Sus scrofa: one gene and its partners. The protein of the gene in region 1 purifies or fractionates together with the protein of each later gene. This does not show direct contact. Links are inferred from orthologs where the notes say so. Each region holds a gene or a part of one and is shown in the gene's direction. Other genes may lie near its edges.

Region 1 (10,313 bases):
AGCAAGGCCAGGGATGGAACCTGCAACCTCATGGTTCCTAGTCAGATCCGTTAACCACTGAGCCACGACAGGAACTCCAGAAATGTGTTATTTAATTTCTAGGTGTTTAGAGAATTTTCTGTTATCTTCTCTTTTTGACTTATAATCTGATTTCATTGTGGTTGAAGAATATACTGTATAATTAATCCTTTAGAATTTTTTTTTAAACATCTTTTTTTTTTTTTTTTTTTTTTTTTTGTCTTTTGTCTTTTGTCTTTTTGTTGTTGTTGTTGTTGTTGTTATTTCTTGGGCCGCTCCCTCGGCATATGGAGATTCCCAGGCTAGGGGTTGAATCGGAGCTGTAGCCACCGGCCTACACCAGAGCCACAGCAACGCGGGATCCGAGCCGCGTCTGCAACCTACACCACAGCTCACGGCAACGCCGGATCGTTAACCCACTGAGCAAGGGCAGGGACCGAACCCGCAACCTCATGGTTCCTAGTCGGATTCGTTAACCACTGCGCCACGACGGGAACTCCATCAATCCTTTAGAATTTTTAAAGATTTGTTTTATGCCCAGTATATAGTCTGTCTTGGTATATGCTCCATGGAACTGTTTTGTGGTTTTGTTTTTTCTGTTTTTTTTTTTTTTTTTTTGGCTTTGCCTGAGGCATGCAGAAGTTCTGGGGCTAGGTATTGAACTCTCACCACAGCAGTACCTCAGCCACAGCAGTGACAATACAGAATATTTAACCTGCTGAGCCACCAGGGAACTCCCTACCCTATGGCCCTTGAAAAAGAATACGTTATGCTGCTGTTATTGGGCAAATTTGATTCGATCCCATTGGTTATTGGTGGTGTTGAGTTCTTCTATATTCTTGCTGATTGTCTAGTTCTATCCATTGTTGAAAGGGAGGTGCTGAAGTCACCACTCTAATGGTGGATTTGTCTGTTTCTACTTTCAGGTCTATCGGGTTTTGCCTTACATGTTTTGCAGCACAGTTTTAATGTGTATACATTTTGGACTGCTGTGTCTTCTTGGTGGGCTGACTTTTTTTGTTTGAGCATTTATAAAGTCCTCTCCTTTCTCTGGTAATATTCTTTGCTCTAAAGTCTACTTTATCCAATATTAATATAGTAATTCCAGCTTTCCTTTGAGTAATGTTTGCAAGATATATCTTTTTCCGTCTTTTAACTTGCACCTTTCCTATATCTTTTTTTTTTTTTTTTTTTTTTTTTTTTTTTGTCTTTTTGCTATTTCTTGGGCTGCTCCTGCGGCATATGGAGATTCCCAGGCTAGGGGTCTAATCAGAGCTGTAGCCGCCGGCCTACACCACAGCTCACAGCAACACCAGATCGTTAACCCACTGAGCAAGGGCAGGGACCGAACCCGCAACCTCATGGTTCCTAGTCGGATTCGTTAACCACTGCACCATGACAGGAACTCCCCTATATCATAATTTTTGAAGTGAGACAGCATATATTGGGTCAGGCTTTTTTAATCTCCTCTGCCAATCTCTGTCTCTTAATTGGTATATTTAGACCATTTACATTTAATGTAATTATTGATATAAGAATTAAGTCTATTGCTTCATTTTTTGTTTTGTTCTCTTTGTTTTTCACATCTTGCTTTTTGTTTTCTTGCTTTCCTGTGAGTTACATAAACCTGTTTTAGAATTCCATCTTGATTGGTCTATATTTTTGAGTGTATCTCTTTTATATTTTTAAAATGGTTGTTCTAGTTATTACATTATATATACATAATAACTCATGACAGTATACTAGTGTCTTTTTTTTTTTTTTGTAAGGCCCAAACCCACAGCATATGGAAGTTCCCAAACTAGGGGTCAATCGGAGTTGCAGCTGCTGGCCTATGCCACAGCCACAGCAACACTGGATCCTTAACCCACTGAGTGAAGCCAGGGATTTAACAGATTTCCTCATGGATACTAGTCAGGTCATTACTGCTGAGCAAAAACTGGAACTCTGGTGTCATAATTTTACCAGGGAAGAATAGATAACTTACTTTCCTCTATGTTCCTTTACCCTCCACAGTTTATAATTTTCTTAAATATTTCCTCCATATATATTTAAAACCACATAAGACAGTGCTATAAGATTTACTTCAACTGTTAAACATGATTTTGAAAACTCAAGTGGAGAAGGGAAGCCTGTCAAATTTACCTGTTGTTTTTTTTTTTTTACTGTTTTCTTTCTTCTTCCTGTTGTTCCAAGCTTCCTTGTTTTATTGTTTCCTTCCTGTTTTATTTAATTTAATTAATTTATTTATTTATTTTAGGGCTGCACCCTCGGCATATGGAAGGTCCCAGGCTAGGGATCCAATCAGAGCTACAGTTGCCAGCCTACGCTACCGCCACAGCAAAGCAGGATCCGAGCTGCATCCTGCGACCTACACCACAGCTCATGGCAATGCCGGATCCCCAACCCACTGAGCGAGGCCAGGGATCAAAACTATATCCTCATGGACACTAGTCAGATTTGTTTCTGCTGCACCATAACGGGAACTCCATCCTTCCTGTTTTAGAGAACTTCCTTTAGCCATATTTTGTATGGTTCTGCTAGTAACAAAGACTCTCTTCATTTTCCTTCACCTGAGACTTTTTTTTTCCTTTTTGGTTGTGCCCTTGGCAAACAGAAGTTCCCAAGCCAAGGATCAAACCTGCACCACAGCAGTTACCCAAGCTGCATCAGTGGCAATGCCAGTTCCTTAACCTGCTGCAACACAAGGGAACGCCCATCTGAAACTTGTGGGGTTTTTTTGGTAACAATTTTTATTTGTTCCATTTCAGTTGCTTTGAAACTTTTTTGATTGTCCCTTCATTGCTGAAGAATATTTTATTTTATTGCATTTGTCTTTAAAGGGCCTCATCCATAGCATATGGAAGTTCCCAGGCTAAGGGTCAAATTGGAGCTGTAGCTACTGGCCTACACCACAGCTCATGGCAACGTGGGATACTTAACCCACTGAGTAAAGCCAGCGATTCATGGATACTAGTCAGGTTCATTACTGCTGAGCCACAACGGGAACTCCTGAAGAATATTTTAATTGGGTATAGGAGCTGGGTTGACAGTTTATTTTGTTTTTTCCATCCTGAAAAAATATTTTGCCACTTCTTTCTGGGCCTCCATTATTTGTGATGAGAAATCACTCATTCAAATCAATTTTCCTCAGTAGTGTTATTTTCTCTGGCTGCTTTCAAGGTTTTTTTTTGTCTTTAGTTTTTAGAAGTTTAATGGTGATGTGTCTCGGCATATCAATTTTTACTCAGTTTCTTAAATCTATAGGTTTATGTTTCTTGCCAAATTTGAGAAGTATTTCAGCACTTACTTTACCAATTACCTTTTCAGCCTGGCCCATGCCTGGCCCTCTTTGTCCTTCCATTCTGGGACTCTTTGTGTGTGTGTGTGTGTGTGTGTGTGTGTGTGTGTGTGTGTGTGTGTGTGTGTGTGTTTGCCATTTCTTGGGCCGCTCTCGAAGCATATGGAGGCGCCCAGGCTAGGGGTCGAATCGGAGCTGTAGCCACCGGCCTACACCACAGCCACAGCAACGCGGGATCTGAGCTGCGTCTGCAACCTACACCACAGCTCATGGCAACACCGCAACACCGGATCCTTAACCCACTGAGCGAGGCCAGGGATTGAACCTGTGTCCTAATGGATGCTGGTCAGATTTGCTTCCACTGAACCACAATGGGAATTCCTTTACTGAGATTTTTTGAAGCATTTATTTGTTGACTTGTGTGTTACTTCCCTACCAGAAGTTTCACTCCTTCATCAGTCTCTCCCATCTATAATAGTACCTGGGGTATATATACATTATGAGACCTATATACATACATAGGACCCCAGGTCCTATTTCATATATATTTATATATATATAATACATAGTTAATGAATACATATTATATATATAGTTACATTCAGTGAAAGTGTTGAATGAAGGATAAATATGCCCTCGATACCTTAATTTACTATGGGTTTCTAGTATTCCTGCGGGAACACAATAAATTAGATGACAGAACTCTTGATATGGAATCATTCATTTAACAAAACTTGGTCTTAGAAAAACTTGGTAGTGTTCCTACTAAAACTTTAAGGTCTCTCACAAGTCTTCTCTCTCTACTCCGGTTAAAGCTGCGGCGTTTTCACAGATTTGTTTTCCTGTTTAAAATTAAGACAAGGAAACAAACCCTACTTCTGGTTTAACAGTGGAGTCAAGACCATCCATTACTCTTCAGCTTTCTTTTAAGAGAAGATACGAGATTTCAAATAAGCCAATACAAGATTTAAGAGTGATCTAGCAGTCATACCTCTGCAAGATTAGAGATGAAAAAAAAGTGGAGAGGTGGTCTACAAATGGGAAGGTGATAGAAAGCACAGGTGCTTTGGCTGGAAAGGTGCTATGGCCCAAGGAGGCTAGGACCTCAGGCCGGGCTCAGAAGTGGGTCAGGATCTGAGAAAGACCACTAAGAGTGAGGTCTTGGGTTTCCGCAGCAGGAGGCGGGACGCCCACCCTCGCCCTTTCCCCGGAAGAACGCGACGAGGACCCGCGGGCACTGGAGCTGCGCGGCGGCGGGGAAGGATAGGCTGTGCGCGGGCTGCAGGTCGCGGCCGAGGCGGAGGAAACAGCCGCCGCCCCTGCGGAGGGAGTGAGGCCGGGGGCTTCCCGAGGAAGGGCGATGAGAGCGAGTCCTTTCGAACATTTCCACCCGGCTCTCTCGCGTCGGCCCGGCCCCGCCCGGCCCCGCCCCAGCAGCTCCGGCAACCGCCTCCTCCCAGCCGACGCGGGGTAGAGTGGGGGGCGGGGGGAACCAGCACCAGCGCCTTTAAGAGGCGTGGCCACACGCTCCGCCCCCACTTGCCCCTCGCGCGCCAGTGAGGGGTGGGGTGCGGGAGGAGGTGTCCGGACGGGAGGGGGAGTGAGACGTGCGCTGGCGCGCAGGCGCAGTAACGAGACGACAGATCGTGTGTTTCCAAAATGGCGGCAGCGATGGATGTGGATACCCCGAGCGGCACCAACAGCGGCGCGGGCAAGAAGCGCTTTGAAGTGAAAAAGGTTGGGTCTCGCCAGCGCCTTCCTCAGGGAAACTAGAGAGGCGCGGATCTGGCTGGCAGGCCCAGGATGACCAAGGCGCGGAGGAAAGGGCTTCATTTCAGGGCGTTCCGGGGACCGGGTACCACCAAAGGAAGCCGGGAGGCGGGTCTTAGGGTTGATCGGCGTGACTGCGGCCCACTGTCAGTGCCAGTGTTGGTTTCGCTCGGAGGCTGAGGGGCCAATCACGGAGGTGCTTATTGAGATGCGCGGGGTTGCGACTTGGATGCAGGAGCCAAGCGCCTGAGCTGTCACTGGAGTGGTGGAGGGGTGGGGAAGGCGAGGGTGGGGCGGGTGGAAGGGGGAGTCGAGGGCTGCGGTGGGTGGAGGATGGGACAGTACGGCCCAAGCCGGGAACCTGAGGTCCTACCGCATTGGAGGCTTCTGAGGACCGGGCTAGTGATCTCCGTGCCCCGCCCCTATCCAAAGCTTGGGGTCCCTCTGAGGAACCTCGACCTGGTCCTCGCCTAATCGAGGCCTCCATTAGCCCTCTCTGGCCCTCGCCCCTGCCGAGTTAGTTTCTCGAGTGTAACTCTTGGCTCTTCTGAAAGGTCTGTTGATTTGTTACACAGCCGCCCCAGTCCTGCGGTCATATCCAGAATCCCCATCCGAAAAAAAAAAAAAAAGGCATGGTGGAATTTGTTAAAAAGAAAACGGAGCCCAAGTATTGTTTCAAGTAGGGAGGGTTGAATACAAGTTGCGAACAACCTGGTAAAGTGGGAAAGAAGAAATGTGGAACGTGTCTTTTTGCATGAAATGCCTTACAGTGATTTGCCAGCAGTTTGGGAGAAAAGTGCCCATCCCACATTAGATAAAACAAATCTGTCCAAAATGAAGATTCCAAATAGGGAAGATTTTATCCCTGGAACATCTAGCTAAACCCTGACGGTATTCCCCCGTCTAATGCGTTTTGGCGTTTCATTGTGGGCACTGCATGCTCAGTTACAGCCAGCAGCCATATTGAAGAATAGAAGTAAGATTTTTTTTTTCTTCTTTCCTCCAAGTTGAAGCTGTCGGTGAAAAGTGTTGAAGAAGTTGCTAGACATTGAAAATTAGGTTTGAAGGAGATGAAGGTTTGGGACGTGTCACCAAATTAGGGGGTGAAAGGGAGTTTGGGAATATTTATTGCAGAAGCCAGAGGTTGAATTATTGAAATACCACTTTTAGATAAACTCTTAAGGAAATTATCCTAGCTAAATATAACAGTCTGAGCATATAAAAGTTGAGAACATCAGCTTATTTGATGATAGGAACTATACGAAATTCCAGTGAATTTTAGAGTTTGTTGTGAAATAATCTTATAAGATTTAAGCGATGACCTTGTTCTATGGACTCACACTGGGTAGTTATCCAGCTTATCCTACGATTACCCGTTTTATGATCCAATCAACATCTTAGTTCATTCTCTTCCTAGCCTTCACCTGTCCATTCCTGCGTAAAAGCTGCCTTGAAGAGCAGGTATTTATGCAGAAATTGAGCTCTTTTGCAACTGCCAGGAGAACCTGCACAGTAATTCAAGTTTGTGATTATTAGACCTAAAACCGACACTTATAAATTATTCCTGATTTATTTATATTGATATGGCTGACTAAATTAAACTGTAGGAAAAAATAAAAGATGATATTCATTTGTGTTTATATAGTTGACAGTTTAGAGAATGGGTAAGCATACGTGTAGCCTACTGATGCTCTCTGATATAATTTTAAAAAAAAGAGTCATGTAACATCCAGAAACTCTTGTTTGGTGGTCTTTGTGGCCAAAAAGGTGATAACTACAGGATGAAATCCTGGAGTGTGTGTGTGTATGTGTATGTGTGTGTGTGTGCACGCGTGTGCGCTTGTGTTAAAAGAGTAGCATGCATTGTTCCCCCTTTTTCTCTTTGCAGTGGAATGCAGTAGCCCTCTGGGCCTGGGATATTGTGGTTGATAACTGTGCCATCTGCAGGAACCACATTATGGATCTTTGTAAGTAATTGGAGGAGGATGGGAGGAAGTTTGAGAAGGTTACAGAGATTGCAGCTATCCTGATGTGACCAATTTTCTTCTTCACGAGGAAAGATAAAGTATATTCTTAGCACTTGGGGACTTCTGCATTTGGTGTGTTGGTATGTTTGAAATAAAGTAATTTTTTTAGGGTGTCCTGAAGGCATATCCATCTCTCAGAATAAGGCTATTCAATCTAAAGATAAGGCCACATTTAGAATGAATTGCGGGCACAGAGGTACTGTTGATTATTTCTTCTCCATTTCCCATCTTGCACCCAGACTTAAAGGCAAAAATAGTGAAAGAAAGAAAATTAACTTTGAGCTAAAATATCCTAGCAGAGCAAATGTTTGCTGGGGAAGATTTATGAAGAGGTCTAAGGAGTATGCATTTTCAGTGTTAGCCCCAAATGTAGTTAACATCACTGCCAACATCTAAATAGGTAGTTAATTGCTCTAAGAAAATTTCATTTAAATTTCCATATAGTCCATTACACATAGTGGTCAGCACACAGTAGGTTTAATTATAGCTGTTAATGGACTTAGTATTTCTGTAGTACTAGGGGCAAGAATTATTGATCACACCAGGAGCAGTTGAGGTTACTTTTTATTCAGTTACTAAAATGGTTTGTTACTGAGATCAGAAAGAGGACAAAGAAGAGTTCCCGTCGTGGCTTAGTGGTCAACAAACCCGACTAGTATCCATGAGGACGGGGGTTTGATCTCTGCCCTTGATCAATGGGTTAAAGATTTGGCACTGCCGTGAGCTGTGGTGTAGGTCACAGAAGTGTCTCAGATCTGGTGTGGCTGTGGCTATGGCGTGCGCTGGCAGCTACAGCTCTGGTTCGACCCCTAGCCTGGGAACTTACATATGCCACAGGTATGACTCTAAACACACACACACACACACACACACACACACACACACACACGAAAGAAATAGGGCAAAGAAATTTCAACGTTCTAGAATTGAAATTTTAACTTATTTTGAAAACCACATACGTGCCTCTTCAGCTTTATCTCGAGCCACTCTCCTTACTCTGGTAGTACCCTGGCTTTCCTTCTATTCTGGAACTATCCGTGGTCTTGTATAGAGCTCTTACATATCTTGTTCCCCCTACTGGAATATTCACCGCCTCTTCTCCCCCTTATCTTTTTCAAACCCAGCACTATTCAGTCTAAGTGTAAGCCATAAATATGAGCACATATGTAATTTAAAGTTTTCCAGTACTCACATTAATGAAGTTAAAAGAACAAGTGATTTGTATTGTATTTATCCTATTATTTCCAAAATATTTTTATTTCAGAATGTAATCCGTATTTAATTAGTGAATTAATTAATTGGGGGGGCTATCCATGTGTCATGCAGAAATTTCCAGGGCAGGGATTGAACCCAGGCCACATCAGTGACAATGCCATATCCCTAACTGCTAGGCCACAAGGAAACTCCCCCTCCCCCTTTTTGTAATCAGTATTTTCTTTTTATTTATTTATTTATTATAGGTCCACATATAGGAACTTTCTGTAATCAGTATTTTAAAGTGAATTTTTTTTTTTTTTTGGTACTAGGTCGTCACAGTGTATTTTACTCTTCAGCACATCTCAGTTCAGACTAGCCACATTTCACATGCTCAGTAACCACACTTGGCCAGTGTCTGCTTTATTAGGCAGTGTAAAACTAACCCATGATTGGTCTTGGGATCCTACCTTGAACTCACTCAAAGGTGTTTTCCGTGACCCTATGTCCATACACACAAACACAAGCTATGACAGTTCTGTTAAATATTTCTAAGACATCCTGTAGTGTCCTTTATAGCAGTTATTTGATTTGGTTGGTTATTTATAAGTCCATGTTATTTACTCCTGTGTTTCCAGCATCTAGCCTAGTGTCCAGTACATAATAGGTTCTCCCTCGATATTTGCTCAGTTAATAATAAAAACAAAATAGGGGACTCGTCTGTGACCATTGCAATTTGGAAAGCACAAATCAGCCATTTTGTGTTGGTAGTTTGTGGCCCTTGGTTTCTCTGAGTTTTGACCCTGTTTACCTTTTCATAGGACAGTCCAAGCAGATCAGCAGCTACCATGATGTTTAGTATAAAGAGAAGGCACCTATCACAGAAAAACACACGCCCAGTTTTAAATGTGCTTGGGTGGGGGTTTTGATTACATGCTTGCCAATTTTTTTTTTGCTGTGCTTTTTCACAAGGGGTTTCACCCAGAGAAAATTTTACTTTCTCAGGGCTCTCTTTTGTAACTAGTTAATAATTTTATATAATCCAGACTTTTTTTTAACATCTGTATTTAAGTCACTGTGTTTCTTTCTGCATGCAAGAGAATGCACTTCTTGGGAAGATGGTAGCAGACAAAGGCCATTGGTATTCTGTCTTAGTGTTGAATGATTGAGGGGTTGATGTGGGCTTTTAGTTAGGCACCTGCTTTACTATATATTTTAATTTTTTTTTCTGTCTTTTTGCTATATATTTTAAATGTCAGGCGAAGAAGTAGAAGATTGAACTCCTGTAACAATTATGAAAGTATTTTCAAGTCATATCTTTTATTCATTTGATGGATATTTATATTCTGGGCCTTTTGCAGGGCTCTAGGATAAAGCAAGGACTGAATCAGGGCTTTACCCATAAGAAACATATACGCACTAAAGAGGAATCTGGTTGCCATTACTGGGCTTGTCTTCCTTTCAAAAATAGATGAATTGGGAGTTCCCATCGTGGTTCAGTGGTTAACGAATCCGACTAGGAACCATGAGGTTGTGGGTTTGATCCCTGGTCTTGCTCAGTGGGTTAAGGATCTGGCGTTCCCGTGAGCTGTGGTGTAGGTTGCAGACGTGGCTCAGATCCTGCGTTGCTGTGGCTCTGGCATAGGCCGATGGCTACAGCTCCGATTAGACCCCTAGCCTGGGAATCTCCATGTGCCGCGGGAGCGGCCCAAGAAATGGCAAAAAAAAAAAAAAAAAAGAAAATAGATGAATTATGATTCTTGTAAAAAGACTTTTTGTTAAAGATGAAAATAAGAATCTTGATTTAACAATGACCATTTTCTAGTAAGTTCTTGTCTGCCATTAAATGAATAGTTACATAAATACTTAAGAGTGGTTCTGGCTCTGTTCTGGTTGAACTCACCTACAAAGCATTCTTGGTCTGAAGACTTCCTCTTTGGAATCCAGATTGATACTGCATGTCCTGCTCTCGCTTTGTACTTACTGTGCATCACCCCGTTTCT
Region 2 (10,271 bases), on another chromosome or scaffold:
AAACAAGCTGACCAGTTTTCTTTCCTGGAAAACAGGGATGACTTAGGCCATATACATACCTGTGTAATCAAAAAAATCAATTAAAAGGTTATAAATCCAATTAGCTATGGTTTTTTTCCCCAAAAGATACAAGGTGACTTATACACACTTTTTAAAAATTCTAATTTTGTGAACACGTAACTATGTGCCAGGCATTTGATACTCATAAATAGTCCTATGAAAACTGGAATTATAATCCTTCAAAGTGAAGCTTTGTAATTTGTTCAAAGTTACAGACATCAACTAGCAGGGCAGAGGTAAATTCTGCTCTGTCTCCTTCAGAGTCTAACCTCTTAAACTTTAGCCTATGCTGCTTCTCAACATTGTTGAAATAAACTTTGGTGAAACTCTATCTCTAGCCCTAACTTCTGACCTGATTCAGTCTTGTACATTAGAATATAGAACTGCCTATTCAACATCTCTACCTCAATGTCTAGTAGCATTTCAAATTTAATATGTTTCAGTAAATGGAACCACCATTAACCCAGTTGCTCAAGCCGCAAATTTAGTAGGCATCCTCAATTCCTCTATCAACTTCACACTCTAGCTATTTGCAAGGACATCTCCACTGTCACAACTCTAACTTGAACCATTATCATTATTCACCTGACTACTGAGCCTCACAATTGGTCTCTGCTTTCATAGTCCATTTCCCACAAAGCACCCATAGTTGTTAAAACACACATATGGTTTCACTCTTCACTCTTCTGCTTAAACTACGTTAATGCTTCCCATTGTAATAATGTAAACTTAAGGCAGCCTACAAGGTCCTACTGACCTCCTGCCCTGATCTGCCCTCTCTAACTTTATCCAGTAACACTCTTTTTTGCCCAGTATGCTTCAGTCACATTGGTCTTTATGATTTCAGAATTCTCTGTTATGTAAAGTCATGTACTTTAAGAGGATTTGGAAGGGCAGGGTTGGGGATCTGAAAAACTGGTGAAGGTTTGAAAAGGTTGCCTAGAGTAGGAGAATAATTTAGAAAAATTTAACAGGACTGCTCTGTGGTATTGAGAGCTCAGTTGTGGTAGGCGATTGAAATTTAATAACAGAATGCATGTGATTACGCAAATTTCTCCAGTAGTGGTCAGCTGCTCCAGTACCAAAGGGGAGGATATGGATGGTAGGGTTCACTCAAGGTAGAAGCAGATGAAAGGAAAGATGGGGCAAAGGAGTTTAGGGTACTGATAAGTGTGGCTGATTTTTTCCCATAGGTATATAACAATGGAGATGGGGTTGAGAGAAGGGTTGCTAGTATCCTTAGTTTGCCCCAGTTGTGGCAACAACCTATAATTGCTAAATAAAAACAGGACCAAAGGACCAAGACCTACCAGCATTGATGTTTCAAAGTTTTAATTTGCAAATCCTAAGATTACTTTAGGAAATTTGATTCTAAAAAATAAATTACAAAATGGAAGTTCCCTCTGTGGCACAGCAGGTTAAGGATCTGGCATTGTCTTTGCAGTGGTTCGGGTCGCTGCTAGGGCTGGGGATCCATCCCTGGCCCAGCAGAGTGGCTTAAGGATCCACTGTTACCACAGCTGTGGCATAGGTTGAAGTTGCAGCTGGGAAATTCCATATGCTGCAGGTGTGGCTAAAAAAGAAATTACAAAATGGACAAATTAGTAGAGGCTAACATACATTGTAAAGGAATTTTTCACTTTTCAAAATAAATTTCCAAAGGGAATTTGTAGGTTCAACATTAAGATTTATCAGTAAGTTAGGGATTCGGGCTTTAAAAGATTTCCAATCTGGCCAATTATTCAAGTTATCCCAAGAGGGAGTTTTCTTATGCTTCTCCCTTCAGAACATTTCTCTGGTTCTCCTGTTCTGCCAACAAAGAATTAAGTCTAATGTTAGAATGGCATAAATTACTCTTACTGTCCTGGCCACTAACTTGCCGTTTGCCCTTCCTCAAACTAAACTACTTTACACCTACTGCGCTATTGTTTTTGCTGTTTTCTCCTTCTCCTTTTTCTTCTCTTTGCCATGTGCCCTCCACATGTGCAAGTACCCAGGCCAGGGATTGAACCCGTGCCACATCAGCGACCCAAGCCACTGCAGTGATAATGCTGGACTTTTAACCTGCTGCACCGCCAGGGAACTCAAAATTCGGTTATTTTCTCAGGCTCGACCATCTTCCCTACCTTCCATTAAACTCCTAGCCATCTATCAACACTAAGCTCAAACAGCACATTTCCAGATAAAAGACAAGCACTATCTCTCTGCTTTATTTGGTCCCTGCAGATATTTCTTTTACCGGTCTTATGTTGTCTTACAATGCATTTTATATACAATGCAGTATATAATACATACTATACGTTATAAAGTGTTTTTATGATCGATATTTAAGGTCACCCAGGGTCTAAAATAGGGCAAGTGTTCTGTGGCCTTGGTCAAGTCTCTTCCTCTTTGAGTCTCAGGCATAACACAGGTACTGTGGCTCTGTGACGATGAGAAAAAACATTACATATTTAATATGTTGTATTATATATTAATATTATAATTCATACGTATAGATTATAGATTATAGATCTTACACAGTGCTCAACTAAGGCAAGCCACGACTTTGCCAATGTTCTGGCCTTGAATAGGCGCTTAATGAGCGGAGTTTAGAGACCGCTTCTTTTAAATGACGTCACTACAGGCGACTTAAATCACAGCACGTCTGTACCAGGGCACAGAGTCAAGTGAATTACTTAAAACGAGAACACCTGCTGCGTGGCTGAGAGGTTCTGCATAAAACAGAATCCTCTGAGTAGCCCAGGCAACAGGAATATTAGCTCAACATCCAAGGTCTTCCTGGAATTACTCCAGGTTGGGCGGGAAGGGTCTTTACTGCCCGGTGGGAAGGCCGCCTTCCCCATTGGTTTGCGCGAATGGCTGGATCCCCATAGCCAGTGGCAAAACCACTCCCGGGGCGGCCTAAGGGCCCCCTCTCGGTGACCAGGAGGCCACAGCCTCCTCAAGTACACTGTCAGCTGGTGTCGGCCAGCGTCCGTCCGAACAGCGAACGCAGCGGGAACCCAGGCGGCGATTCCCGCGGCGCCTGGCTCCCAGGGCCAGCCCCGGCCGTGGGGTCTCCCCGCACTCCACACAGGGGCCGAGGGGCGGGGCGCGGTGACGCCAAGAACAGTGACGCCACGACGCAGCGCGACGCGGTGACGCACGCCCCTTTGTTGGCTCAGTAGCGGTAGCAGCGGCCGTGGAGGTGGCGCTGGGGACTGTTTTCTCTCCGAGGCCGGTGCGGAGCCGCGTCTGATTGAGGCGGGCGACGAGCGGCCCCCTCGCTCCCTCCCTCCCTCCTCCGCGCCCTCCCCGCCGCCGCCAGCCGCCAACCGCCAACCGCCGCGCCCGGGGAGGAGCTGCGGCCCGCGGGGCCGGAGCCAGGCCTGCGTCCGGACATCAGCCGGAGCCGGAGCGAGAGCCGGGGCCTCGGCGTCCCCGCCCTCTCCCCGCCTTAGGGCCAGCGTCTGCCGGGCCCCCGCGCGTCGCGCCATGGACTCGGACGAGGGGTACAACTACGAGTTCGACGAGGACGAAGAGTGCAGCGAGGAGGACAGCGGCGCCGAGGAGGAGGAGGACGACGACGACGACGAGCCGGACGATGATAACCTGGATCTGGGCGAGGTGGAGCTGGTGGAGCCTGAGCTGGGCGTCGGCGGGGAGCGGGACGGACTGCTGGGCGGGGAGACGGGCGGTGGCGGCGGCAGTGCTCTGGGGCCCGGCGGCGGCGGCGGCGGCAGTGGCGGCGGCGGCGGCGGGTCGGGGCACGAGCAGGAGGAGGATTACCGCTACGAGGTGCTCACAGCCGAGCAGATTCTGCAACACATGGTGGAATGTATCCGGGAGGTCAACGAGGTCATCCAGGTGAGAGTGGCCCCCACGCCTGCTTGATCGGTCTGGACCCAGGAGCGGATTCGTGCTGCTCGCGCGGTCCCGAGGGGCAGGCCTGGGCCTGGTGCTCAGCTCAGCCCGGTACCTCCCAGCCCTGTCTCCTCCGCTGCCCCTGCTGGGGGTAGAGCAGACATTTGCCGGGTGTGGGGAGGTGCGCTGGAGGCGGTGCTTTCCAGGTCCTGCTATGGCGGAGGCCTCCGGCCGCCTAAGACTTCTCTCTTGGACGCAGTTCCTGCCGGTCCTGGCCCCGGTGTTACTCCTCTGGCCCATGGAGCACCTACCAGGGCAGAGTGGAGAAGAGCTGGAAGAACTGGGCCCCTAAGACTGTTTCTCCGGCCTTCAGCCTCACTTGAGCACTTTTGGAAGGGGTTAGAGTAGGCCTAAGAGCTGCTTGTTGTACGGTTGCCCCAAGTGGACACCAGTTAATAAAGGAATGGATCTGCTTGGCAGTCTTAAGTGCCTACTTAAAGGTGGGGGAAGGGAAGTGTTTCTTGGAAGAGGTGTTCGTGGGTCTTCTTTTCTGATGGTGAGGCTTCTGCTTGCATCTTTTTAAATCTTTGCTATTTGTTTGGGACCCAACTACTACTTTTTTCAGTTGTAGCGTACTTAAGCTGTTGGAACAGTTGCAGCGAATTGCATACCCAGCCTTGCAGCTAAAACAACAGCAAAGCGTAGTGTTATTGTTTAATATTGGACAAGCCTCTATTGTGAGTTAGTAAGTAGAGGCTTTCTGCTTCTGGACTCACCCCCTTTCTCTAATAATTTGTATTTCGTGGTCATTAAGTTGGTCTTGGTTTAAATTGATAACCACATCTCATTTAACCTTCTTGTGGGTCGGACTTTGTTTTTGAGCTTAGGACGTCAAAAGTTTCTCTTTGGGAAAAACAGTCATGGGGGTCAGGGATGTGATTGAAGAATAAAAATGAAGCCTTGATTCACTGCAACTTTTAGAAAACACTGGTTACATGGAAAGAAACTATATATACATAAACAGAAGATTACTATTGTCTTGTTGTATGTCAGTCATAACCAATCCCCCACCCCCTTAAAATTGCTTGGCTAATATTCACTGGTAAATTAGTAGTATGTCAGTGCCTACTTGTGAAGTTTGCATGATTTTTTACAGTATTGTTTAGTAGGCGACACTTTCTTTTGAAAATGGAACTATCTATGTAGGCCTATTGGAAGACTGCTTTGAATAATAGTTTAAAAAAATCTGTGATATCTAGTGCTATTACTAAACAGTGGAAATCTCAAACTTTCCTATAGATAATGTAGTTTGAGGAGAGAATTGAAGGGTTGTAGAAGAAAGATAAGTTTTACTTTTTTTTCTAATTCTTAAAATATGACAGTTGAGGTCTTAGGTCACTAAATTGAAAATTTTTCTTTCTTTGAGGAAACTTGAATTTACAGTGAAACTTTGAATTCTTTTTTTTTGTTTATTTACTGTATAAAGTATATAGCAAATCTATAAAGTGGTTTTCAAACTTATTACCTAGGTTTTTTGGCATTTTAGTTAGCTTTAAAAATTCATGGCTATTTATTTTTTAACTTAGGTGTGTTTTCATGTAGTTAAATCTCATCCAACTTTTTCAACTCTTAAGTGTGCCCTTAATCACTGAGGTCAAACCTTACAAATTCTTTATGTCATTTCTGGAACAAAGATGTAGCTAATGCATATGATATCTTTTTTTTGTTAGTTTAGGGGGAAAGGAGTAAGTGCTGATGAACTGAACTCAGACCTACAAAATACTAGGGATTTTTTTTTTTTTTTTTTAGGTGTCCTGCTTTAACCATGTTTCCATAACAGATTTTTGAAGAAAACTGCTATTCTACTCCATGTTAAGGATGCTCTTAAATAGAATTGCACAATATCTTAGTATCTTTCCCTTGTTAAAAGTTCATATTTAGGAATATCAGTAAATCAAAGGATAGGAGTTAGCCCAGACCATTTCCTCTCCAAATAGTACACATTAGATCTAAACTAGGCTTTGGTTATGTTATAGGTTATGTTTGTTAAATTTAAACTTAAAAAGTTACATAGGTAACATACTGTTAGAAAACAGGTATTGGGTAAGGAGAAAAAAATAATTATTTTACCTGCCACTTTGAGATATATACCAGAATTTGAACTGTGGTCATTATTCCAGACCTGTGACTAAGCTATAGATGTTTTTTAAATAATAACAGAATCAAACCCTGTATTCTCTTTATGTTTTTAGTAGAAAAAAGCAGATTAGAAAAAAGAATGATTTTAAAGAAGGAATGTCAGCAACTTTGTCTTGTCAAAAAGTAGCGATTTTTCAAGTGCTTACATTTTTATAGATCTAAACTATTTAATCAGTCTTTTATTATTTTGCTCTTTTTAATGTCTAGTTTCTGTCTTATAAGCCTCTTTGGAAATATCCTTATAGGTAAATCTTTGAATGTCTATTTTTCAGAATAAATTGAATTGCTGAGTCAAAGAGCTTGGTTATTTTCAAAGCATGTGATACGTATTACCACACTGCTTTCAGAAATACTTATACTAGTTTTTCCCCCCTCTGATGTTTGATTGAAATAAAATGGTCATCATTTTTTAAATTTCCTTTTTTTTTTGAACTTCTAACACGTTAGAGGTTGAACTTCTAACATGTTTATTCTTTCGTAAATTGCCCTTTGCTTTTGCTGTTTTACCCCTTTTGGGGATGTTTGTCTTTTATTGATTTATAAGACCTGTTTATATTAATAGTGGCTTTACATATCACACATGTAGGTTTTTTAGTTAAAACTAATGTTGGTCTAATGTATATTTTAAGTAATTTTAGAACCATTGTTTTATTTAGTTCACCTTAGGGAGCTTACTGTTAATTCTAAAAAATTTAAATCCCCTTCTCCCTGGTGCTACTTTTCAATATGAAATCAGGTATACTAGTGAATTTGAGAGAGAAAGACTGAAATGTAATAAGGTCACCAAGTTAATCTTTCCTGGGGGAATTTGGTTACTTTTTCTGAGAGTAGTTCTGGGCAACAGATTAATACTGTTATTTGTAGATATCTGCTAATTAGTTCTAGTCTTCAAATAAGTTAACACGTTTTCTTTTAGGAAATTCTTGGTTTTCTGGCTTTCTCTAACTCTTGTTATAGTTTGTTTAATTTGGCCTTGTTTTTTTTAAACCCTTTGTGGCTACTTAGCTTACCTTTTGAACTTTTAAGAAAAGATCAAGGATTTTCTTTAACTTTATATCAATGGTAGGTGCTTATAGCCTTTGGTTTGCCCAACTTTACTTAACTACTATTGTTACTGTTACAATAGTTAACTTATTAAAATTACTGTGATTATTTAATGTAATTGCCTAAATAGCTAAGTAATTTATTGAACTAACATTATATAGCTCTGTATTTGAAGGATGTTTAACTTTGCCATTTTGTATTTCCATAGCAATATTCAGCAAATGTCGGTTGTGCCTTGGGTGTGTGCTTGTCACTGTAGAGGACATGGTTCTTAACTAAGAAGCATAGAGATGGGGAACACAGAGGTCCTTGGGCTCCATTCCCAGAGATTGTTATTCATTAGTCAAGTCTGAATTGGAGCCTAAGCATCTCTATATTTTTAGTCACTCTGGTGATAATTCCAAACCTCTGGAATAGTCATAGTTCATCCAGTGTCATGATTTTGACTCACTTAGGAAGAATGTAGTAGAGTATGACAGTACCCTTAATACCACATTTAAAAAGGATGTGCTGAAGAAGAGGCACATCGGACTATTGGATGTGAACAGAGAGGAGGCATAAAGAGAAGTGGATGGCGTCTTGCTTTATTATAAGATTTATTATTCTAAATAACCTGTATTAAAGACACCTGAAATATGTAACCTTCATGAGGGAAACTTTCTGTTGTTTGTTGATTTGAAATCTTTGGTTCATTTTTTGTCTTTTTATAGGGCCGCACCTGTGGCATATGGAGGGTCCCAGGCCAGGGGTCTTATTGGAGCTGTAGCTGCCAGCCACGCCACAGCCACAGCAACGCCAGATCAGAGATGCCTTTGCAACCTACACGACCTACACTACAGCTCACGGCAACGCAGGATCCTTAAACCACTGATCGAGGCCAGATATCCAACCTGCAACCTCATGGTTCTTAGTTGGATTCTTTCCACTGTACCACGATGGGATTTGAAATCTTAATTATTATTTCACCCATTTATTTATTTGAAATATTAAAGAACTTCTAAGGTAAAGTTTCATGCATAAATTAGAGGCAGTATAGTCCAGTGTATTGTGTATTGGTTTGGAAGTCAGTTTTAACCATTACTTTCTTCTAAACTGACAGGTTAATTTACATCTCAGAACCTTGAGTTTTTGTTTGGCTTTGCTTTTTTTTTTTTTTTTTTTTTAATTTAAATCTGGGAAGTTAACTACTAGACTGGCCTTTTTTATGTTAATGCTTTGTTTGTTTTCCTAAAGTCCTTTTAAAGGCTCAGTAAATTGGAGATTCTCACTTTTTCCAAGAAATTGAAGTGTGCATATCAAGATGAATTTAAGTTGATCAACTTGGAGTTCCTGTTGTGTCTCAGTGGTAGCGAACCCCACTAGTATCCATGATGATCCGGGTTTGATCTCTGGCCTTACTCAGTGGGTTAAGGATCTGGCATTGCCCTGAGCTGTGGTGTAGGCTGCCGATGTGGCTTTGATCCTGATTCTGTGTTTCTGTGGAGTAGGCCAGCAGCTGCAGCTCCAATTTGACTCCTAGCCTGGGAACTTCCACATGCCGCAGGTGTGGCCCTAAAAAATAATAATAATGATAATAATAAATTGGTTCACTTGTTTGAGGGAGATGCGATGTGTGTGTGTTGTAGCTATTAAGGTGTCAGTATGGTTTATTCCTCTCGAATTTTTATCTTTTCCCAGCTGATTTCTTTGAGCTCTAAGTTCTAAATAAAACTAATTCTTGTTGAATCGCTTATGGTTTTAATCCTCTGAATCAGAAACTGTGGTTTATCAGTCTGTTTTAACAGCCATTCCAGGTGATACTGATGTAAGCTGAAGTTTGAGAACCACTGGTCTAGTTGAAATTTAACAGCAGTGCTCTCCATTATAATTACTAGTGATAAATTACTGTAGAGGTGCGATATTGATGGAAGGCAATTTGTTCAAGAAATTTTAAGAGTTTGGTCAATACTTACTAGGCTAATCATGAAGCGGATTTATTATCGTTACTGTTATTTTTCAGATAAGGTGATCTTTATTCAGTCATTTCAAACTTGCAAGCCAGACTGTTGACATCTTTCTTTTGAGGTTGGAGGACTTGGTTTTTCTTCCACCCTTCCCCACACACTGGTGGTGGTGGTGGTGTTTTTTAAACAAAAATAGTTGTGTTTCTTTATTTGATACACTGGAAGAGATATGAAGTCTTTGGATACTGTCAGTGTACCTGCTTGGTACTGCATTAAATATTGAAAAAAATATGAAACTTATTCTCTAGGAGTTCACGGTCTCTCTGAATTTAGACCCTCAAAGCTATTAGGTCAGTGCTAAATGGATAATAATAGAGGTCTGTGGATGTTATCTGGAAGATGTCTAGGATTTAGGTGGATAGAAAGGACAGATAGGAAGCCATTCGAAGAAATTGAAATAAAAATGAGGAAGGTGTGTTCCAGTAATGGTGAGGTCGGCTAAGGTAAAACAATTAATTATGGGTGATAAGATTGTAGAAGCTCGGACAAAGGCAGAAATCATCAGACTAGATCACTTTCTTCTGGGCTTGACCTGTGGCAGCTATATGTATTAGTTATCTTTAGCTCTATATTTTCCCTAAAAATTAGTGGCTTAAAAACACAAAACACCTCACATTTTATATGGGCCATGATATGGCTTCAGCTTAGTTGGGTTCCTCTGTCTCAGGGTCTCTGTATCAGCTAGATTGCATTTATCAAGGTTGGACTCATGGGAAGATCCCCTTCCAGACTCACTTGTGTGGTTGTTGGGAGGCCTCAGATTTTTCACTGGCTGGTTTTTGGCCAATTCATGCCACGTGGGTTTCTCCAGAAAGTGGCTTACAACACAGTAGTTTCTTTTCTTCAGGGTGAGGAGTCTGATAGAGAGTCCCCAAGATTAAAATACAGTCTTCTATAACTTGATCTTAGAAGTGACATCCCATCACTTGGCTGTATTGTACTGTTTTAAAACAGTACAATACAGCCAACACTCAAGAGGAAGGGAATGCACGAAAGCGTGAAGACAGGAGGTGGATCCTGAGGGCCATTTTAGAGACTACTTACCATGATACATATAATCTGGCTCAGATAAGAGGTGAGTATAAACTATTGTATAGTGTGTATTTATCCAATTTATCT
Region 3 (10,213 bases), on another chromosome or scaffold:
CGTGTTGCTGTGGCTCTGATGTAGGCCGGCAGCTACAGCTCCGATTAGACCCCTAGCCTGGGAACCTCCATATGCCGAGGGTGCGGCCCTAGAAAAGGCAAAAAGACCCCCCCCCCAAGAAAAAATACATTGTTGACTTATGTATGTATGTGTATATTTGTGTATGTGTATGTAGGTATGAATACACATATATAAATTATGGAATATAGTTATGCCTTCATATTTTAAATGACTCAGATTCTGTGTATGATACTGAACTTTTTTTCTGGTAGACCAAAAATAATTATTCCACAAAAAGTTTTTCGCTGTCATTTGTTAAGCAGTATTAAAGTAGTATTAAAATGAATACTGACTGGTGGGAGTACTTTCTGTATGGAATGTACTCAATAAGTGATTAATGATGAACTGTGTACATACAAAGTCATTGGGAAAACAATTTATATTATGGAATTCCTATTTAGCATCAAAACATAATTCAGATTATGTTTTTATTCCCTATATGACCCTAGGACCTTTAAATGATAGTTTGTTTTCACTTTATAGCTCTGTTTAGATCATTCTGTCCTAATATCATAATTTACAGTTTTATGTAATTTGTGATGCTAATTGAATGAGCATAGTCAGAAGCTGTCATTCCCCTTTTACTTCTCTTTCCTTTTACTTATTTGAATTGACTGTACACACTGGGAAAAAAATTGATGGTTTGCAAGTATTAGAAATAAAATTTTTAAATCAGTGATGTACCAAAGCCCTAACTCTAATAGACAATTCTGTCTGGTCCATGGAGAAAAATCCCTGTAAGCAATATAAAGGGATTTGAACCCACTTACTTTTATATATCTATAGAGCAGTTTCTTAAGTGTTCCCTTTTGTCATTTACAGTGTAAATGACAGGGTGTAAATGTTTGGAAGGTTCATCATTGTGATATAATAAGTACTTTGATATGATAAAGAACTGTTAATTATATATAACTATCCAAAGCAATCTGAAATCATGCTTTGGAATAGAATAGATAGAAATCTCATTTCTTTATTTTTTTCTTTATTACTCAATGAATTTATCACACCTGTAGTTGTACAGTGATCATCACAATCCAATTTCAGAGGATTTCCATCCCACATCCCAAGCACATCCCCCCACCCCCAAACTGTCTCCTTTGGAGACCATGAAGTTTTTTAATGTCTGTGAGTCAGCATCTGTTCTGCGAAGAAGTTCAGTCTGTCCTTTTTTCAGATTCCACATGTCAGTGATAGCATTTGATGTTGGCGTCTCATTGTATTGCTGACTTCACTTAGCATGATAATTTCTTGGTCCATCCATGTTGCTAAAAATGCTGGTATTTCGTTCCTTTTAATGGCTGAGTAATATTCCATTGTGTATATATGTACCACATCTTCTTGATCCACTCCTCTGTTGATGGACATTTAGGTTGTTTCCATGTCTTGGCTATTGCAAATAGTGCTGCAATGAACATCAGACTACATGTGTCTTTGTGAGTCATGGTTTTCTCTGGATAGATGCTCAGGAGTGGGATTGCTGGAAGAAATCTCATTTCTCAACTTAAATGAAATATTGTAGTGAGGACAGGAAAAGACAAATTTTAAACAACCAATGAAGTAAATAGTAATAAATTACTTATATATAAATAAATAGTAGAATTCTTGAGTTGAGGCTCACAGAGCAAAGGCAAGAGAAGAGGCAGAGAGGTTTAATAAGTATTCCTTGGAGTTCCCATCATGGCACAGTAGTTAACGAATCCGACTAGGAACCATGAGGTTGCGGGTTTGATCCCTGGCCTTGCTCAGTGGGTTAAGGATCTGGTGTTGCCGTGAGCTGTGGTGTAGGTTGCAGACGTGGCTCGAATCCCGAGTTGCTGTGGCTCTGGCATAGTCTGGGGTAGGCTGGCAGCTGTAACTCCAATTTGACCCCTAGCTTGGGAATCTCCATATGCCACAGGAACGGCCCAAGAAATGGCAAAAAGACCAAAAAAAAAAAAAAAAAGTATCCTTAAAGCGGTGAGGAGTTAGTGAAGTTTATAAAAACCAACACTTTGTTCTTAAATCTGGCATATATTAGAAGGTATTACTTTTTATAATTTTAGAAATTAGAATGTTGAGGTATATTACATTTATCTATAAGTACTTCATCCTTAGAGAATGACTAACTTATTTTTCATAATTAAAAAAAGATGCAAGTTTTGTTGGGGGATTTTTTTTGGCCATAGCCATGGCATGTGGAAGTTCTCAGGCCAGGGATCAAACCCAAGCCACAGCAGTGACAAGGCCGCTTCCCTTAACCCACTGAGCCACCAGGGAACTCCACAGAGATACAAGGTATGCAGCACTTTTTCTTTCCACAGCTGGCACTTTATGTGCTTTCATTCCTGGAACCCAAAGACCTGCTACAGGCTGCTCAGACGTGTCGCTACTGGAGGATTCTGGCTGAAGACAACCTTCTCTGGAGAGAAAAATGCAAAGAAGAGGGTAAGATTCAAAATCACATAGAGGAAATGTCTGTAGTTCAAAAAAGCAAGTGATTCTGAAAACAAACAAAAAAAATAAGTTTTATGTGCCCATAGACTAAAGTGGTAGGTAAGTTAAAAGAGAACTTTGGCAGCCTGTCAAAGAATCAAGATTGCGTCTTCATTTGTATTGACCTGCTTCTGTAACATCCACAGGTTATTCCACACATTCACATGAGCCAGATCTTGCTTCTAACCCCTTTGATGAGCACTGTAACTGTTAGTAAATATATCAGACCTGTTTCCCAGTCTCCAGTAGAACTAAACTATGAGAAAGTCAAGATGAGGATGACTTAAAGAGAATCCCAAAGTTAAATTAGCAATTATATACACAGATATCTGTATTCTATTCATGCCCTCCACAAGTACTTATTGAACCCCTCTTATATGCTATATATTCTTATATCCTGGGGATATAATGATAAACTCCCATTTTCTTCCCAGCATGGAGCTTGTGTTCAGAGCCTGGCGGGCGGGGGGGAATACTCTTTCTGGTTTTTGTTTTTGTTTTTTGTCTTTTTCTCTTTTTAGGGCCACACCCACAGCATATGGAGGTTCTCAGGCTAGGGGTCTAAAGTGAGCGGTAGCCGCTGGCCTATACCACAGCCACAGCCACTGCAACACCAGATCCAAGCCGTGTCTGCAACCTCATGGTTCCTAGTTGGATTTGTCTCCTCTGCACCACGACGGGAACTCCAAAATCCCCTTTCTTAGTAAAGGCATCGATATCATCCATATTAATTTAAGAAAGGTCTTTTTTTTTTTTTTTCCGGCAGGCATCTAGAAAAATATTTTTGAAAAAATTCTGGAAAAATATTATTTGTTTTTGGCAAGCCAAATTTTTAAGAAAGAACCATAGACCATAAGACAGAGAGGCTATGGGTTACCTTCTCCTTCACGGAGGTTGCAGTTGAGTGGCAAGCACCGGTGGTTAGTGAAGCCTAGAGGTGAGGATACTTGTTTTCTGATCCTGCCTCTGCCCTGTCTGTGGCTTCGACCAATCAGTGACATCTTCTCAAGTATATATAAAGTGGGATTAACCATCTCATAGAATCATTATTTTAATGACTCTTTAAAATGGTGATAATTTATACATAAAACAGGATGTATCTCTTGAACCATTTTTAAGTGTACCGTTCAATAGCATAAAGTACATTCCTCTTGTCGTGCTTCCATCACCACCATCCATCTCTAGAACTTTTCGTCTTACCCCGCTGAGATGCTGCCCATGTAACGGTGACTCCCTATCCCTCTCCATACCCCGCTCCAGCCAGCCCTGGCAACCACCGTTTTGTTTTCGGCCTGTGGATTTGACTCCTCTAGGTACCACATATTAGTGGAATCATGCAGTGTTCGTCTTTTTGTGACTGTCTTATGTCACTTAGCGTGATGTCTTCACGGTTCATCCAGATGTGTCGGAGTATCTGCCCTTTCTTTAAGGCTAAATAACATTCCATTGTATATATCAACCACATCTTTTTCTCCATTTATCCATCGACAGACACTTGTGTTTCTCCCACCTCTTGGCTGTTGTAAAGAATGCTGCCGTGAACATGGGTATACAAAAGCCTCTGCAGATCCCTGGTTTCAGTTCTTTTGGGTGTTTGTCCAAAAGTGGAATTGCTGGATCATATGGGGTGATTTTAGGCTTAATTTATTTTTGAAGAACCGCCATACTCTTTTCCATAGCAGCTGCATCATTTTATATTCCCACAAGCATTACACAAGGGTTCCAATTTCTGCACATCCTCCCCAACGTTTCATAGAATTATTTTGAGAGAGAAATGAAGCAGTCGGTATGAAGCATGCCATACGGAATGCAAACTTCATTGTTTTGTAATGCCAGCGTTAGAAATTAGACAGTGTTCTGCATTTCAGGGGTTTTGAGCATAGGGGAAAATGAGCTACATTATAAAATTGTAATTTGTATTTTTGGTGAAGGCAGTAATACACTGACAATTTTTAAATTTTAGGTATTGACGAACCACTGCATATCAAGAGAAGAAAAGTAATAAAACCAGGTTTCATACACAGTCCATGGAAAAGTGCCTACATCAGACAGCACAGAATTGATACTAACTGGAGGCGAGGAGAACTCAAATCTCCTAAGGTAACTGAACTCTCACACGATGTAACAGAAACCATTAATCAGTGTTAGTACTCAGTGTACTTACTCTTCCATTTCTTGGCAAGCAGTATAACGTGACAACTCATCTCCTGTGGAAAGAAAACAATATATTTTAAAATAACTGAAAATGTAACTGACAGTATTCCTCCTTGCTAATTTCTCTAGTCTGACAAATGATTATACTTGAATAAAAGATGAGTTAACTTGCGTGTTCTATTACGTGTAAACGAAAATTTCCAAATATCCTGTTGAATTTTGTTATATACATACTACCTAAGAATTTGCTCCCTCTCTGACCACATAATCCAGGCATGATTTTTTTTTGAGTAATACCCATGTTTGAGGAGGTGACTTTTGTGTGTTTTAATTTTATACATTTAAGCATAATTCTGATTTTCTGCCTTATACCATTTCAAGTATGTAAAGAATGGCAGGGGAGTTCTCTGGTGGTGCAGCAGGTTAAGGATCTGGTGTTGTCCCTGCTGTGGCTCGAGTGTCATCCCTGGGAACTTCTGCCTCGAGCATGACTGAAAGGGGGAAAAAAAATAGAATGGCAAAAATCCTTGAAACACTTAGCTCTATTTTTTCAATTGGAAAAAGGAAATTTGGGGAGACATTTCCTATTAGTATGTATATATATTTTTGGTTAAAGTTGAAAAAAGTTGATAATTACTATCTTTCTAGTTAGTAGGTACTTTGGTGTTTGACAAGTTACATTCTTTTGGTTTGAACAATAGGTGATTATAAAATACATTTGTGTTTGAACCACCTTTATGAGGTCTTGACTGAATGAAATTTTAGTAGTTGATGCCTCAAGTATAAATAATAGAATATGGAAACAGTAAAATGCTTAATACTTAATTCCTCTGCCAGGAAGGATGCTTTATATTTTTTTATAAATTTTAGTTTTAGAAAGACTACATATTACTGCTGCTATTGGTGGCCTCATTTTTCTTTTCACCAGTATTTTAAGAACTCTGATCGAGTAACGTGTTCCTGATAGGCGCATCTGTGTTGTAGGTGCTGAAAGGGCATGATGATCACGTGATCACATGCTTACAGTTTTGTGGGAACCGAATCGTTAGTGGCTCTGATGACAACACTTTAAAAGTCTGGTCGGCAGTCACAGGCAAAGTAAGTTGACTTCTTTCTACCCTTCGTAAAGTCACCATTTTGTGTACATCTTTGCAAGGATCAGCCACTGGAAGGAAGACAAGGATTCATTTCATTTTTGACTCTAGCTTATTTTGATAGGAGATATCAGAGCTTCTAATTTAGCTTTTTCCTTGGCATGAAAATGATGTTTCTCATGATAGGGATGTCATTAGTTTCTTCTTCATCTAAATAGTTTGTCTATCTTTGTGACTTAGCTATTTTAAGATTTTATAGATGTGCTTTTTTTTTTTTTTTTTTTTGGCTTAATGTTTCCTGCTTTTATTATCTCCTTCCTTTTTAATCTTTTTCAAAAATATGATTGAGGAATTTTTTTCTTGTAAACTGCTTTAATAGCCTACCTATAGTTTAAAAGTTAAATAAATCATGCTAATTTTGACTTACCTCAGATCCTATAACATAGAAGTTAAGCAGCCTAGTTAGTTAAATAGGAATTTGATGGGAAAAAAAAAGGCAGCCCAGGCAATCAGTTTCATTGCATACAATATTATACTCTAATGCCTCTCTACTGAATATTTATTTTTATCTGTCCAATGGAAAATATTTTCTTGAATTAAGTAATTGACTACCTAAAAAGTAATAGAAGAAAGAGTGTGTGGGAGGTGGAATCTGTCATTTCAGTGTTGCATAGCATGCTTATTTGGGGGCAAGAATCTTCTATTTAGAAGAATAGTTATTCCAAGTCAGATGTTAAAAACTTTTAAAACAGCTTCATATTTCCATAGTGTAATATTAGTTTTGGATTTATTTCAGGGTTTTAATGTCTGTCTTTACTTGTCTAGAAGTACCTTGCCTGGTTCCTAGCTACTGCCTTGGGGCAGATTCAGATGAAATGTGGTATGTAGCCACACCCAACACTGTTGGCGTTCTTTCATTGAATCCATTCCCATGGAAGAAACCAAGCTGCAATTTTAGTATTATTTTATCCAAGAGGCCAGGCTAGAGCTGTCATACTTTAGCAAGAAAGGTTTCCTTTCAACATACTTGATCCTCAGTTGTGTGTGTGTGTATGTATGTGTGTGTGTGTGTGCGTGTGTGTAATCTGCAATGCTGGTGAATAAACAAAGCAATAAATAGTGATGGGATCCTCTTATATTGATGTGAAACATTACTTTCTAATACGCCAAACATTCCAACTGAGTTAGTGACTTTACTCCAGATTTTAACGACCTGCTGAGATGTTATTTAAACTGGTTTTCTTTCTACCCAAAAGTAATCACCTTAAGTGTTTTTCCAGTGTCTGAGGACATTAGTGGGACACACAGGTGGAGTGTGGTCATCACAGATGAGAGACAATATCATCATTAGTGGATCGACAGACCGGACTCTCAAAGTGTGGAACGCGGAGACGGGAGAATGCATACACACCTTGTATGGACATACTTCCACTGTGCGTTGTATGCACCTCCATGAAAAGAGGTGAGGGAACACCCTGCCGGTTGGGAAGTTTTCCTCTGTTACTTGTGAACCTGGAGCCTTTTGTGTAGCGTTCCGTCGTATTACTGTGTCTAATAGACAGTGATAACGTGCTCTTAAATTAGATGTTAATTAGTCAACTTCAGATGTTCTCTGCCAGGAAAACCATGGTGTCTTGCCTTAAAATCGGGCAGTTGCTTTACGCTTCCTTCCTCATTTAACAGTGTTCTTGGCCTTCCCCTTGAACCTCTCTATTCTCTAATCTTGACTAATACCTTACTTAATTTTTCTAAATCTTGGATGATGCATCATCATAAAAAAAAAAAAAAAATTGGACGGAGCGTATATTTCTGGAAGTAGGACAAATTCAGTTATTCAGTCTTCAAGCCTCTGAGTCTTTACTTACCCACCTGCCCTGCCCCGACTCGGTCATAAACTGGGTCGTCTCAGGCAGAAACCGAGGCCTGTGGGATTAACTTATTCTCCTTACCTATCACCCAAACTATGGACATAGCGTTCAGACTCTTACACAGAACCTCCTCTAATTACCGTCGTATCACTGCTGACCGAATTAACAAAGAAACCCTCAATCCGGTTTCCAAAATAGTTTCAGCCGAACCAGACCGCTTGCCTTTTTCTTCTCAGCACCTTCGCTGTTGCTTTTATCTCCTCCTGCAAAGCTTCCCTGTGCAAGTCCCTTCTGTCTCCTGTTCGTATGCATGGTACTCCTGTTAAACAGATGTGATTTCTGTCCCATTTGTCGGAAGAGGTCTCTCTGAAGGGTCCTTAGAGTGAAGCCACTCCAGTCGTCACCGTTAATTCTGTCCGTAGCATCTTCCTTATTAAGAACCATTACATTAAGCAGATTTCACTCTAGATTTGTAATATGTGAAGAAAAGTACCTTTTCACATGTAATTTGAATCTGCTCTGAACAGTGCACGCTGCTGTTAAAACTGGGGGGATTGGTATCCAGAGACCTTGCATTTCAGTTGCCAGTAGTTTCTGACTTCAGTCTCTCAGTGCTTCCATTTTCTACTCTTCCAAACCTGGAAACTCTTTACCTATTTGGAATGATGTAAATTCGCCTGAGTTTTCAGCTTGCCTTTGTAATCCAAAGGTAACTGGAGTATTTCTATCAGTCTGGTTCTCAGAAGAGTATCAGTTTAATAATGTTGGGATGATTTTTAAGGGATTTCTGTTGCCTCTACCTACGTTTCTTCTGTAATCTGTATATCTTTTTTTTTTTTTACCATTTCTTGGGCCGCTCTCGTGGCATATGGAGGTTCCCAGGCTAGGGGTCTAATCGGAGCTATAGTCACTGGCCTACGTCAGAGCCACAGCAATGTGGGATCCGAGCCGCATCTGCAACCTACACCACAGCTCATGGCAACGCCGTCAACCCACTGAGCAAGGGCAGAGATTGAACCCGCAACCTCATGGTTCCTAGTCGGATTCGTTAACCACTGCACCACGACGGGAACTCCTGTAATCTGTATATCTTAATGCTTTCCCTGGCCTATTGACTAGTTTTAAATATAAGCATAAAAGCAGCCTTTGTTTGAGGATATGTTGAAGACTGGTTAATTTGACCAGAGTATGTGGTGTAAAGCACATATCTTTAGCTTTTTAAATGCCAAATTCCGATGTGTTTTGTTGAAATTTTTCCCTGATCGCAAAGGAAGTATGTGTTCATTATTAAAATTTGGGGACATGGCAGAAAGAATAAAGAAAATGTCAATTTTTCAGACAACTACCACCCATTAACATTTTACGCATGTTGCCCACCTCAGCATTTTATTTCTAACATCAAGATCTGCTTGTATGTATTCAGAACTGGCTGCTTCTGCTACTCCTGCTGCTGTTTATTTACTTTCTCTGACTTCTTTTTCCTCTTCTTCCTCTTTGTCTTTGCTAATTACAGTACAGTCATTTTCACACTGTTCCATGGGACCCTAAGCTGCTCCTGGAGCCCTCAAGCAGTGGGGGAACCCAACAGGCAGGAGTCTAGGCTTTCCAACTGCCTGTCCCCACCAGAGTCACTCAGCCTGTAGAGGTTTATATAGCAAGGTTGGTTTTATCTAGCGTGTGTTCCTTTTGAACGCAAGTGTTGCTGCTTAAAAAAGGAGAAAAGTTTTCATCCCCCCTGACTTCATATATCCGGTTTTCCCGTGTTATTAAAATGCTGCTGCCTTCTTTTCCGTTTCTCCCTGCAGAGTTGTTAGTGGTTCTCGCGATGCCACTCTTAGGGTTTGGGATATTGAGACAGGCCAGTGTTTACACGTTTTGATGGGTCACGTGGCAGCGGTCCGCTGTGTCCAGTACGACGGCAGGAGGGTTGTGAGCGGAGCGTATGACTTCATGGTGAAAGTGTGGGACCCCGAGACGGAGACCTGCCTGCACACGTTGCAGGGGCACACCAACAGGGTCTACTCGTTACAGGTAGGAGACCCACCTCCCGCTCCTGAGTGCCTAGTGATGCGGCGGCAGCTTGCCTCACCTTGATGGCCACTGCACGCTGCTGGTCCAGTACAGCCCAGAAAAAGCCCAGTTGAATTATTCTCTTTACCTTTACCTTAACATTGGCAGGAAAAAGCAGACATTTTGAGATGACTGAAATGATTTGTTTCCATTTTTCCATGATTCATTTCCTTCTAAAACACAAATATTTTGTCTTGGAACCTGAGCCTTTGGGGCCCTAAATTTTGCTGTATTAATTAATGGGTACATAGTCTCACAGGAGAATAACGTGGATTTTAATAAACTCCTTAGCAGAGGATTAATTTGGCCAAAAGCTGCCCTTTTTGCCTTGATAGCTGGAAGTTGATGGACCTTGTAATTGCCACTCCATTCAGGGCAGAAGCAGAGCTTTCTGCTCAGAGCTGTGCTACCATCACAGGGCCGCTGGTTTGTAGTCATGAGGAAGTAAATTTAATGAAACTGATTTTTGATTTTGTTTTCATTTGAACCTGATAT

The links.
Region 2: the proteins of RBX1 (region 1) and ARIH1 purify together in Homo sapiens (affinity purification with mass spectrometry; 3 studies listed by BioGRID and IntAct, with this or other methods). This does not show direct contact. The link is inferred for Sus scrofa from reciprocal best matches to the Homo sapiens genes RBX1 and ARIH1.
Region 3: the proteins of RBX1 (region 1) and FBXW7 purify together in Homo sapiens (affinity purification with western blotting; 8 studies listed by BioGRID and IntAct, with this or other methods). This does not show direct contact. The link is inferred for Sus scrofa from reciprocal best matches to the Homo sapiens genes RBX1 and FBXW7.

What each region holds. Positions count from the first base shown.
Region 1 is NC_010447.5:7,509,972-7,520,284, reverse strand, and holds the start of RBX1 (E3 ubiquitin-protein ligase RBX1), read left to right. Parts: upstream 1-5,420; 5' UTR 5,421-5,995; coding exon 5,996-6,065; intron 6,066-6,506; coding exon 6,507-6,550; intron 6,551-6,977; coding exon 6,978-7,056; intron 7,057-10,313. UniProt on the Homo sapiens protein: E3 ubiquitin ligase component of multiple cullin-RING-based E3 ubiquitin-protein ligase (CRLs) complexes which mediate the ubiquitination and subsequent proteasomal degradation of target proteins, including proteins involved in cell cycle progression, signal transduction, transcription and transcription-coupled nucleotide excision repair.
Region 2 is NC_010449.5:60,817,056-60,827,326, reverse strand, and holds the start of ARIH1 (E3 ubiquitin-protein ligase ARIH1), read left to right. Parts: upstream 1-3,537; coding exon 3,538-3,909; intron 3,910-10,271. Other genes in the region: uncharacterized protein LOC110261568, read right to left, coding at 2,739-3,539. UniProt on the Homo sapiens protein: E3 ubiquitin-protein ligase, which catalyzes ubiquitination of target proteins together with ubiquitin-conjugating enzyme E2 UBE2L3.
Region 3 is NC_010450.4:76,684,080-76,694,292, forward strand, and holds part of FBXW7 (F-box/WD repeat-containing protein 7), read left to right. Parts: intron 1-2,360; coding exon 2,361-2,484; intron 2,485-4,495; coding exon 4,496-4,632; intron 4,633-5,670; coding exon 5,671-5,784; intron 5,785-7,060; coding exon 7,061-7,242; intron 7,243-9,453; coding exon 9,454-9,679; intron 9,680-10,213. UniProt on the Homo sapiens protein: Substrate recognition component of a SCF (SKP1-CUL1-F-box protein) E3 ubiquitin-protein ligase complex which mediates the ubiquitination and subsequent proteasomal degradation of target proteins.